2 linked regions of the Schizosaccharomyces pombe genome follow. Changing the gene in region 1 together with any one later gene gives a genetic interaction. Each region holds a gene or a part of one and is shown on either strand. Other genes may lie near its edges.

What was found.
Region 2: of cki2 (region 1) and fab1, changing one suppresses a phenotype caused by changing the other (phenotypic suppression), as found in Schizosaccharomyces pombe (one study listed by BioGRID).

What each region holds. Positions count from the first base shown.
Region 1 is NC_003423.3:969,925-974,872, reverse strand, and holds cki2 (serine/threonine protein kinase (CK1 family) Cki2), read left to right. Parts: upstream 1-2,134; 5' UTR 2,135-2,424; coding exon 2,425-2,550; intron 2,551-2,602; coding exon 2,603-2,672; intron 2,673-2,731; exon of another isoform or gene 2,732-2,739; coding exon 2,740-2,888; exon of another isoform or gene 2,889-2,953; coding exon 2,954-3,916; 3' UTR 3,917-4,266; downstream 4,267-4,948. Other genes in the region: nucleoporin, WD repeat Nup131, read left to right, coding at 1-256, 296-650, 692-1,824; SPOM_SPBP35G2.04C (uncharacterized protein), read left to right, coding at 4,839-4,909. UniProt on the Schizosaccharomyces pombe protein: Casein kinases are operationally defined by their preferential utilization of acidic proteins such as caseins as substrates. May contribute to the regulation of morphology.
Region 2 is NC_003423.3:2,656,297-2,661,343, reverse strand, and holds the start of fab1 (1-phosphatidylinositol-3-phosphate 5-kinase Fab1), read left to right. Parts: upstream 1-1,886; 5' UTR 1,887-2,000; coding exon 2,001-5,047. Other genes in the region: heat shock protein Hsp16, read left to right, coding at 423-854.

The sequences.
Region 1 (4,948 bases):
AGTTGCCTATTGCAGTGCTTTGGCAGACCTATATGAATTATTGATGTGTAATGAAAAAATGTCTAACTTGCTTCGACGAGTATTGAAAATAATGTCTTCAAATGATAATATTGATGAACTTTTTTTGAAAAAGTGCCTGAATATAAATTTGTTATTACAGCATTTAAGCTCGGAATATTCTCAAATATCTGGCCAAGATGCTAGCAACGCACAAAAAAGAATTGAAGTAATAGTAAATGTTAATAACGTTTATGGGGTATGTTTCTTATAAAATAACGAGGTTTACTAATATTAGACTATCTTTGGAAATGAGCTTGCTTATAGGCAAGAAAAAATATCAAAATTTACTGATCCATCCTCTGTGATTAGAAGCGACCTTTGGACAGTTGAAGTTGATCACTTAGATTTACTACGAAAACAGATCGAAGATTCGATATCATTGCATCGCGATGTACGTGACTCGAAAGATGCACACATATTAAAAGTCAGTAACAAGCTTCGGAAGCAGATTTTGCATCTGGTGGAACAAAATTGCCTTTTGATCTTTGATTTGCACAATGGAACAGATGATACCATAGTAAAATCGCATAATTTTCAAAAATTTGAAGAAGAATTTGGCAATTCACGAAAAGAATGGTTACAATATTTAGGTAAGCTGTTTCTCACTTTCTTGTTTCCGCTAACAAAGAAGCTTCTGTCGGATATTTGGAAAAGGCAATCGACTTGGCGGAAAAAGTTAAAGACTTTCAGACAATGGTAATTTTGCTGGATTGTCTAGATCCAAAGGATCCTACCATTAAGCTTCAAAAGCAAAAAGCATGCTTAAATAAATACAAAGAAGAATTCGCAGATGTAATTTTTTTTTATTTGGTTGATACAGAGCAGTATGCGTCTTTGCTTCATGATTTCTTGGAGTATCAATCACTTTTAATATCTTTTTTTGAAGCCAATGATTTATTGAATCTTTTGTGGATATTTGAAGCTCAAAATGGAAATTATGGACGAGCCTCCGAAATTCTTTTCCGTGATTGTGAACCAGAAGAAAACAGGATTATCGGTAAAATTTCGCAGTTAGCTCTAGCAAAGCTCTACTCATGGACTAATAGAATTGAAGGTGAAAATATCATATTGTCAAATGAGACTGAGGTGATTGAAAATCATTTAGCCATTTTGCTTATTCAAGAGCAATATGCTGAAATGCTTTCATCACTTGTGGATATTACAGAAGACGAGGGAGAAGCTGTCGAAGCAATAGTAACTTCCAATTGTGTAAATCTATCAGAAAACTCTATCAGAGCCTGGCTCGTGTCTAGTGCTGTTGAGCGATTAATTCAAAACGAATACACTACGCTTTGTGAGATGGTAGATTTCTTTTCTTCTTTTTCATTACGGGAATGTTCATTCAAAGAAGTTGATTTGGCCTTAGAGTTATTAGAAAGAGCTACAATCACTAAGGACGTGTATTTTTACTTAAAAGATCTCGTATATCGCCGTTTTCTATTACAGGTGAACTGGGCAGAAATCATCGATGCGCATGAAGATTTAGAATCTTCATTTTTTCCAATGGTAAAGGAAATTATGTTAGAATCAGACTTTTTAATATGGTTACAACATATGGAACACAATATTCACGACGAAAGTAAACATTACTTGAAATCGGAAAAAAATTTTTTGCAAAGTGTATATTCTTCACTTTCTGAGTCGCAAGTGGAAGATTATCAAATGGAGCTTTTTCGTGAAAAGCAAATTTTCTCAGTACTATGTAAAGATAGAGAGTTATACATTCTGATTCCGAAACTTCTGGACGTAGCAACAAAACAATGAAATGAAATTTTGCTATATATTACTTTACATTTCCTCAGTAATCGATAAACACCTGTTTAAACCTAGTACTACTTATGTTTGTATAATCTATCGTATAGCCTCAGCTCCGACAACTCCGTTTTTACGATGGTAGATGCTAGATAATCACTGGTTAGAATATTTACGGCTTAAAATAATTAAATTTTTTTATTATAGATTCTTGATTTATTATGATGATTGCGCCTTCGGGGCTTTTTCCCTGTCCTGGATAGCCTCACCCTTACGTTGGAAATTAAGCTAAGGCCTAGTGTGTTGCATCCAAGTACACCTTACAACTAACGTCCACTAAAACACTCAAACCACATAATCATTTGTTAGTCGAAAGAAAGCCTGTAACTTCTATTAAATTATAGTAATTGGTTTTCTAAATTTTGTTGTTTTTGGTCGGCTACTGAATCGCAATTGGACTTCAATCTCTGTGGTGAATGCAGTGAAAACAAACTGAGATTTGTGTGGCATTTGTTAGTGAGGCTACAAATTGACTACATAAAAACTGCATAGTCCTTGCAATAAAAAAAATTTTATCTGTTCGGTCAATTCCTTGTGACAGGGTTATTTATCATGAATTCCCAAACGAGCGTAGTAGGGGTTCACTATCGCGTGGGTCGTAAAATAGGTGAGGGATCGTTTGGTGTTATTTTCGATGGGATGAATCTTTTGAATAACCAACTTATTGCTATAAAATTTGTATGTTCTTTGTTAGGATGAGTATATGGACAATACTAACAATGGACGTTAGGAACCCAAAAAGTCGGAGGCACCTCAGCTCCGTGATGAATACAGAACTTATAAATTACTAGTTGGAAATGGTATGTTTTTATTTTGCTACCCAAAACATATGGTCAAGACTTTGGTACTAACCGTATTTGCAAATAGCTGGCATTCCTAATGTTTACTATTTCGGGCAGGAAGGACTACATAATATCCTTGTTATTGATTTACTGGGACCTAGTTTAGAGGACCTATTTGAATGGTGCGGTCGTCGATTCAGTGTCAAAACGGTGGCTATGACGGCGAAACAGATGGTAAGTTTCCTAAGTTGTTCCTATAAGGTTTTCAATTTGTTTAAATTTTCTCTGACATTTCAAAGCTTTCCAGAGTTCAGACGATTCATGAAAAAAACCTTGTTTATAGAGACATCAAACCCGATAATTTCCTAATAGGCCGACCTTCCTCTCGAAATGCAAACATGGTATATATGGTTGATTTTGGTATGGCCAAATATTACCGTGATCCCAAAACCAAGCAACATATACCATATAGTGAACGTAAAAGCCTCTCGGGGACTGCGAGATATATGAGTATAAACACGCATCTTGGACGTGAACAATCCCGTCGCGATGACTTAGAATCGTTGGGACACGTCTTTATGTATTTTTTGAGGGGAAGTTTACCTTGGCAAGGATTGAAAGCTGCCAACAATAAGCACAAATACGAAAAGATTAGTGAAAAGAAGCAATCTACCTCCATTAGTGAGCTTTGTGCTGGATTTCCTAATGAATTCAGTAAATACATGACTTATGTGCGTTCGTTAGAATTTGATGAAGAACCGGATTATGCGTTTTTACAAGAGTTATTTGATGATGTACTTCGAGCAAATGGTGATACGAATGATGGGGTTTATGATTGGATGTTATTGAATGACGGTAAAGGTTGGGAGTCAAGCTCTTCTCATTTTTCTGTTGTTGCTATGAAGCGACGAAAGAATTACCTTGGCTTAAATGTTGTTCAAAATGATGATTCCAGAAAAAAGAACAGTACTTTGCAAACACAGAACATGCGATTTAAATCCTCATATGGGGTGAGAGGTCCTAGAAATTACTCATCGTTCGATGCGTTGCCGAGCAAAAACGCTCCATTGGTGCGTCAAGAACAGTCTGCTTCTAAAAAAACAATTTATGCTCATTCTTCTAGAGGTTACGATAGGGTTCGACCTATGTATGTATCTCAGCCCTCGAATAATGCAGTCGGAGTAAATCATCCTAACGATAATTCTGATTCGGAAGCAAAAGGAGGATTTTTTGATATGATATGCTGTCGTTGCTTTTCTTAGTTTCGAAGCTTCAACTATTGTTAGAGTCACTCACTTTCTTAACTTAAATAAGTGTTGTTCTACTATGCGGTAGATATGCTTTCACAATATCAATCATTTGATGATTTGGTTTTCAGAGTACGGGATAAATGGTTCATCTTTTTTTAATATTAATTTGAGAAACGCTGTATAGCGTCTTTGAGCGGGTGCTTAAATCAAATTCTTTAATTATTTCGATTGCAAATTTGCTGGCACTAGCCTACTTTGCTGGTTCTCGTTTAATCTTTTAATGTTGCTTTCCTTTAACATAACTCAATATTGTCTTAAAACTGACATTGTACTATTGTAGTAAATAATATATACATACACATATATAACCAAACCATATGTATTCTAGGTACTAACAATTGGTAAAATGACAACGGAAGCTAATTCGTTTTCAATTACAAATAAATAGAATAAAAGAAAGGAATTCTTTTTATACTGATTCGTGTAATATATTTTTTAGCTGGACATTCAAAAAATAAACTATACGTGTCTTAAAGTATTTGAACTGGACAAATGCCATATGATTTATTGGAAACTAGGTAATTTCTTTTGAGTAATGGTAAATCCCTTTTTAGTAAAGGAAACAATCAGCAACAAATAAAGAAAAAATTTTGACTTATTGGGTTATAATTACTGCAGCGTATACCTAATATGCTGTATACGACCTCTTCAAAAACTAACGCTAAAATCTGTCAAACCATAGTATGTAATTTTTATTTTTTTTTCTCTATGGCGTAGATATAATTTCGTATCAAGACTGTAGACTTGAAGTTTTAACCCAAGTTTTATCAGGTGTTAAATAGATCTCCCTTTTCTAACTTCTTAGTGCGTGCACATGCATGTGCATGTGTGTTAAACGATTTGAGTCTAAAATTGACAAGAGCGGCTTCGAAATATGATATCTAATAGCTCCATTGAGGATAGAATTAATAAAAATGAAGCATATATAGCCAAGTTTTTTGAAATGTGTGTGTAATTATAAGAATTTCTGTGTTTGTCGCCTGA
Region 2 (5,047 bases), 1.7 Mb from region 1:
AATGAAATGAGTATTTTTCTAACTCTACTAGAATGATTATTTTCTAGATCTCTCTAGAAAGATAGCACAGCCTTGCGTACCGAAGTTTATATTTGAATCTGCCTCGGTTGTGGCGCATAAGTGGCAAATTTGGACTTTTCTAGAGCAAGCACTAACGAACATCTAAGTCCACCCAATACAGAGTTTGAGTGTTAGCAAAAGACGCCGTTCCGAAAGTACAAACTCCGGCAAATTCGTGATCTTTCACAACGTTTACGAGAAAATTCGAGTCATCGTACAATATATGACATCCATCCCATTCCGTGCTTCCCAGAAAGGTATAAATAAGGGTACTCCTTCCGCTAGTCCAGCATCGAACAAATACAGATTTGAATTGAATTCATATAATTTCAAGTTACTCGCAATTGTTTAAATTTTAAAAAATGTCTTTGCAACCTTTTTTCGGCTTTCCCCCTACTGTCAACGACTTGTTCTCTGACTTTGTTAGTTACTCCCCTCGTTTGAACAACCAAATTCCTGGGGAGTTGTCTCCTTCGATTGATGTGCATGAGGGTAAAGACACTGTTAGCGTTGATGTAGAACTCCCTGGTGTTAAGAAAGAGGACGTTCAAGTCCATTATGATAGCGGAAAACTTACTATTTCTGGCGAAGTCGTCAATGAGAGAAAGAATGAAAGCACCGAGGGTAACCAACGCTGGTCAGAGCGTCGCTTTGGCTCATTCTCTCGTACCATTACTATTCCAGCCAAGATTGATGCAGATCGCATTGAGGCCAACTTCAGTAATGGCCTATTGACTGTCACCTTGCCCAAGGTCGAGAAGTCCCAAACTAAGAAACAAATTGCTATTAAGTAAAATCGTCTCTTCCGATTTTAATATGATAGTTTCGAAATGGTTATGAGACCAATCTTGTTGGATTGTGAGCATATATTATTGTTTGATTTAACAATCAATCATAACATATGCAATTAATGATCCGCTTGCCATTGGATTGATGAATTTTGATAATGAATTGAACACGGTCTTCTAAACAGTAAAAGAGCATTTAAATTCCACATCAAGCAATTTATGGCCAGCTGTCAGACAGTGTTTTAATGATCTTGACTACCACTTGTTACGATTCTCCAATGATGAGCAAGTGATCTCTAGCAATTTTTCAAAATAAATAAATAAATAAATATTTTTTTATTCCTAATTAGAAAACAAGTTGTTTCAAAATGCTCTATCGTAATATGTGTAGATTTATTTTTATTTTTTTCAAAAAAAAAGAACAGTATTATGTAGCTCCTAATGAATTAACAGGAGTTACATTAGCATATCATAAAGTTGTGTATGCTCTTTGAGTCTTAAATCACCGGGGCAATGAAATCGTCTTCCTTTTGCGGAGATCTGATAATATGCTCTTAACAATTTTTGGTTTTATTAGTGAGCCATAAGGTTTGTTTAAGCGGAAGTTTTGTGATTTCATGTTAGGGACAAGGGCTTCATAGATGTGTTCCTTTCTATTTTTATTCTTTATATTACTAGTTCATTGGTTCATGGACACGCTAACCTAAAAGTAGTTAAATCTCCTTGGCCTTGAGCGAGTGTTTCCATACTACCACTAATCCTTGGGTGATCCAATGTTTCCTATAAAAAAAAGTACACATAAATATATAGCCTAGGGTACCTTTCTTTTTCAGTAATCAACATACAGTTTAAAGTTAAGAATGTTATGGTTTTCGTGTGTGATTAAACCAAATTCTTGTTTGCTATAATATCTAGCTCTACAGTAAAGCCGAAAGCTCTTGTATTGCTATGGCTTTGTAAAACTTAAATTCGGCGAATCTCGTTAATATACACTATTCTATCAACACCAAAACCTAAAGTATTTATTATCAAACAGCTGCGTTTAACGTACATGCTTTTCGATATAACAATCATGACAATTCATAGAACTTAATTAATAGAACCAATAATTTCCGGAGATAATTTTAATCTTCGGTTTGCATTTCTGTTCAAATGTCAGAAGTCGAAACGCCTACCGCAGCCTCGCCCACTTTTCCTGTTGAAACCTCTCACCGTTTAGATACTTTGCATACATCAAGCACAGAGCAAATCATTAAAGATTCCGAGAATGTTGTCCACACTACGTTGAAATTGCCGACTAGTACGTTGTCGCGCGAATTTTGGATGAAAGATGAAAGAACAAACAACTGTTCATTATGTGAGACGGAATTTACTTTATTTCGAAGGAAACATCATTGTAGAATATGTGGGAAAATTATCTGCAAATATTGCTTAAAAGAAGCTCCTGGATTTATCTTTCGTCTCCAAGGATCGATCAAAGTGTGTCGTCCATGTGCTTCAATTTTAGTTAATAATTATTCTCGAAGCCAGCTATTCAATCATTCATTAAACGAATCCAAAAATAGAGATCTTACGGAGCAACATCCGTTTGTTACACTGGACGAACTTAATTCGAATGATCAAGTACTATCATCATTTGGAGATTTAAGTAGCACATTTGAGATGCCTAATAATATTCATCCTCCTGAAGTTGCTCCAATGATAGCTATTCCCTCTAGTCGCTCGAATTATGATTCTCCTGGTTGGGCTCACCATTCCATCTTTCTTGACTGGAGCAAAAGGAATTTAGATTCGAATGTTATAAATGTTGAAGATTCCGAAAGTGGTAAATATAATGCTTTAACCATTACAAATAGTTACGATGCTGGTCCTAGCTCTGTTTCCACAGATTATCGTCCCGTCAATTTTGGAAAAGTACCTTCATACTCAAAGTTAAGAAAGAATAAAGCGTTTTCCTCAGCGAAAGTCTCTGATATGTACTTGTCGGCTGATGAAAGAAACCGGCTCGAGGATTTTAGCAAAGGCGACAGAGGCCTTTCATTTGTTAACCTTTCTCCAAATATAAAAGCAACGTCTTACGATCGATTGAGCACAGTAATAAATGAACCCTTTATTTCAAGAAGTTCTTCCTTGACTGATGAACGGGGTTTGGCCGATTCGGGCAATTCCTATCATCATTTCTCCGACTCCGACGATGAATCACTATTCAATGATGGATTGGGCCTTTCTTTTCATGCCAATAGTGCAATTATTAAGCAACGCCAGCAAAATGTTGCATCAATTCAGCGTTACGGTAATGAAAGTTACTTATCAAATTTTTTAAAAGCTTTTCTTCCGAAAACGGTTTGCGACTATCTTTTTCCTTCTTCTACTATTCCCGATGGACTTCCCGCTTTAATTGAAAACTTCAATGCGCGAGTTGATAAGGTGAATCATCCCGGTGGAACAGAAGAGCCTCTTCCTTACCAGGGAAAGTCGCGTGCTTCTTCTGTAGTTACCTCTTCCAAAAGCACATGTATTTTACCACCTTGGATTCTCTTCTCTGATTCATTTAATCAGCTTGTATGTACTTTTCTGGGAAAATTACTCTTTCAAATGCTAAATGATGAGGGTGTGGATTCGCCTATGCAATGGGTACTTTGTCTCCCAAAAATTCTTTTAAAAATGGCTTTGGATCTAGGTCCTGATATTCGCTCTGGTGATGATATTGATGTCCGCAGCTATGTAAAAATAAAAAAGATTCCCGGGGGAAGCATTCAAGATTGTTTTCTTGTTAATGGTGTTTTGTTCTCAAAAAAAGCTTCGTCCAAATCTATGGACCGCTCGCTTCGTCGGCCTCGTATAGCTCTTTTAACTTTCAGTTTAGACTACGCTTGTGACGAACAGAGAATTTTATCCTTGGATTTAATCATCTCTCAGCAAGAAGAGTATATTATAAATCTTGTCAATAGAATCTGCATGCTTAAACCGAATCTAGTTTTTGCTCAGGGTCAAATCCCCAGTATTGCCTTGAAGTACTTTGAAGAACATGGCGTTATAGCCTTTCATGGACTTAAAGAATCAGTTTTATATGACATAGCTAGATGTTGTCGTGCAGACATAATATCGTCAATAGATAAATTGTCGCTTTGTCCTCGTCTTGGTACTTGCGGCAGGTTTCAACTCAGAACGTATGTTGTCGATGAAAACAAAGGGTTGAGGAAAACGTTTGCTATACTTGATCGCTGCTCGGAACGTTTAGGCTGCACCATAGTTCTAAGAGGAGCTGATTATAATCAGTTGAGCAAGGTCAAGAAGATTGTCGAACTTGTTGTTTTGATTGCATATCATATCAAACTTGAATGTGCCTTGTTAAGAGACAAATTTGTGAATATGCCGGAGCTTTTTGAAACAACCTATCAAAGTTTGTCTAGGAAATCGTTGCCTTCGTTTGCCTCTACTGCAGCTGATAAAGAGAAAAGCCAAAATCATGAAAAAAAATCTCTGAACAGTGATAATCAAAGTTTGCGACCTTTGGAAAATGAAAATCAAAGTGTTTCTAGCACCCAAGGTAGCAACAGCCCGCTTGAGTTGATCAATAACTTACCAGCCTCAGATGACTATTCTTCTATTACCAAGGCTTTGAAAACCAGATTTTTAACGTTTTCACCCTTTTTATCAAAGCCTCTTCCACGTTTATTAAACCAAGTTAATTATTACCAGTTTATTCGTAACAAATTACTGAAAGATGTGAAGTTACATCCATACTCACCAACTGGCTCATTCGTAATGAAGCAGTCCGAAAATGACAATGTAGAAGAAAGTTACGAAGAGTCCTATAAATTCTTTTGTATTGATGAACGTTATCATTTTTTAGAAAAGCAGTGGACACTTTATTACTCTCATTCAAAACTCATGTTTTCTCCATTTTCTTCTCAAAGGATTATTTTGTTATATTCCATTATTAACAAGGAAACTTCTGTTCCTTGTATTGGCCCTGAACGTTGTCTATTAGAATTTTATCGAGAAACTGATTGCACTCTTGGTCAGTACATAGAGGACTCATGCTTGAATACCAATGTAAGTTGTGGAGGTGAGTATTGTAAAACGAATGATATGCTGTGGCATTACAGGAGTTATGTTCATGGAAATAGTCGGATCAGCGTTTTTTTGGAATCTTTTTCGTGCCCTGTCCCTGGTTTGGAAGAAAAGATAATTAT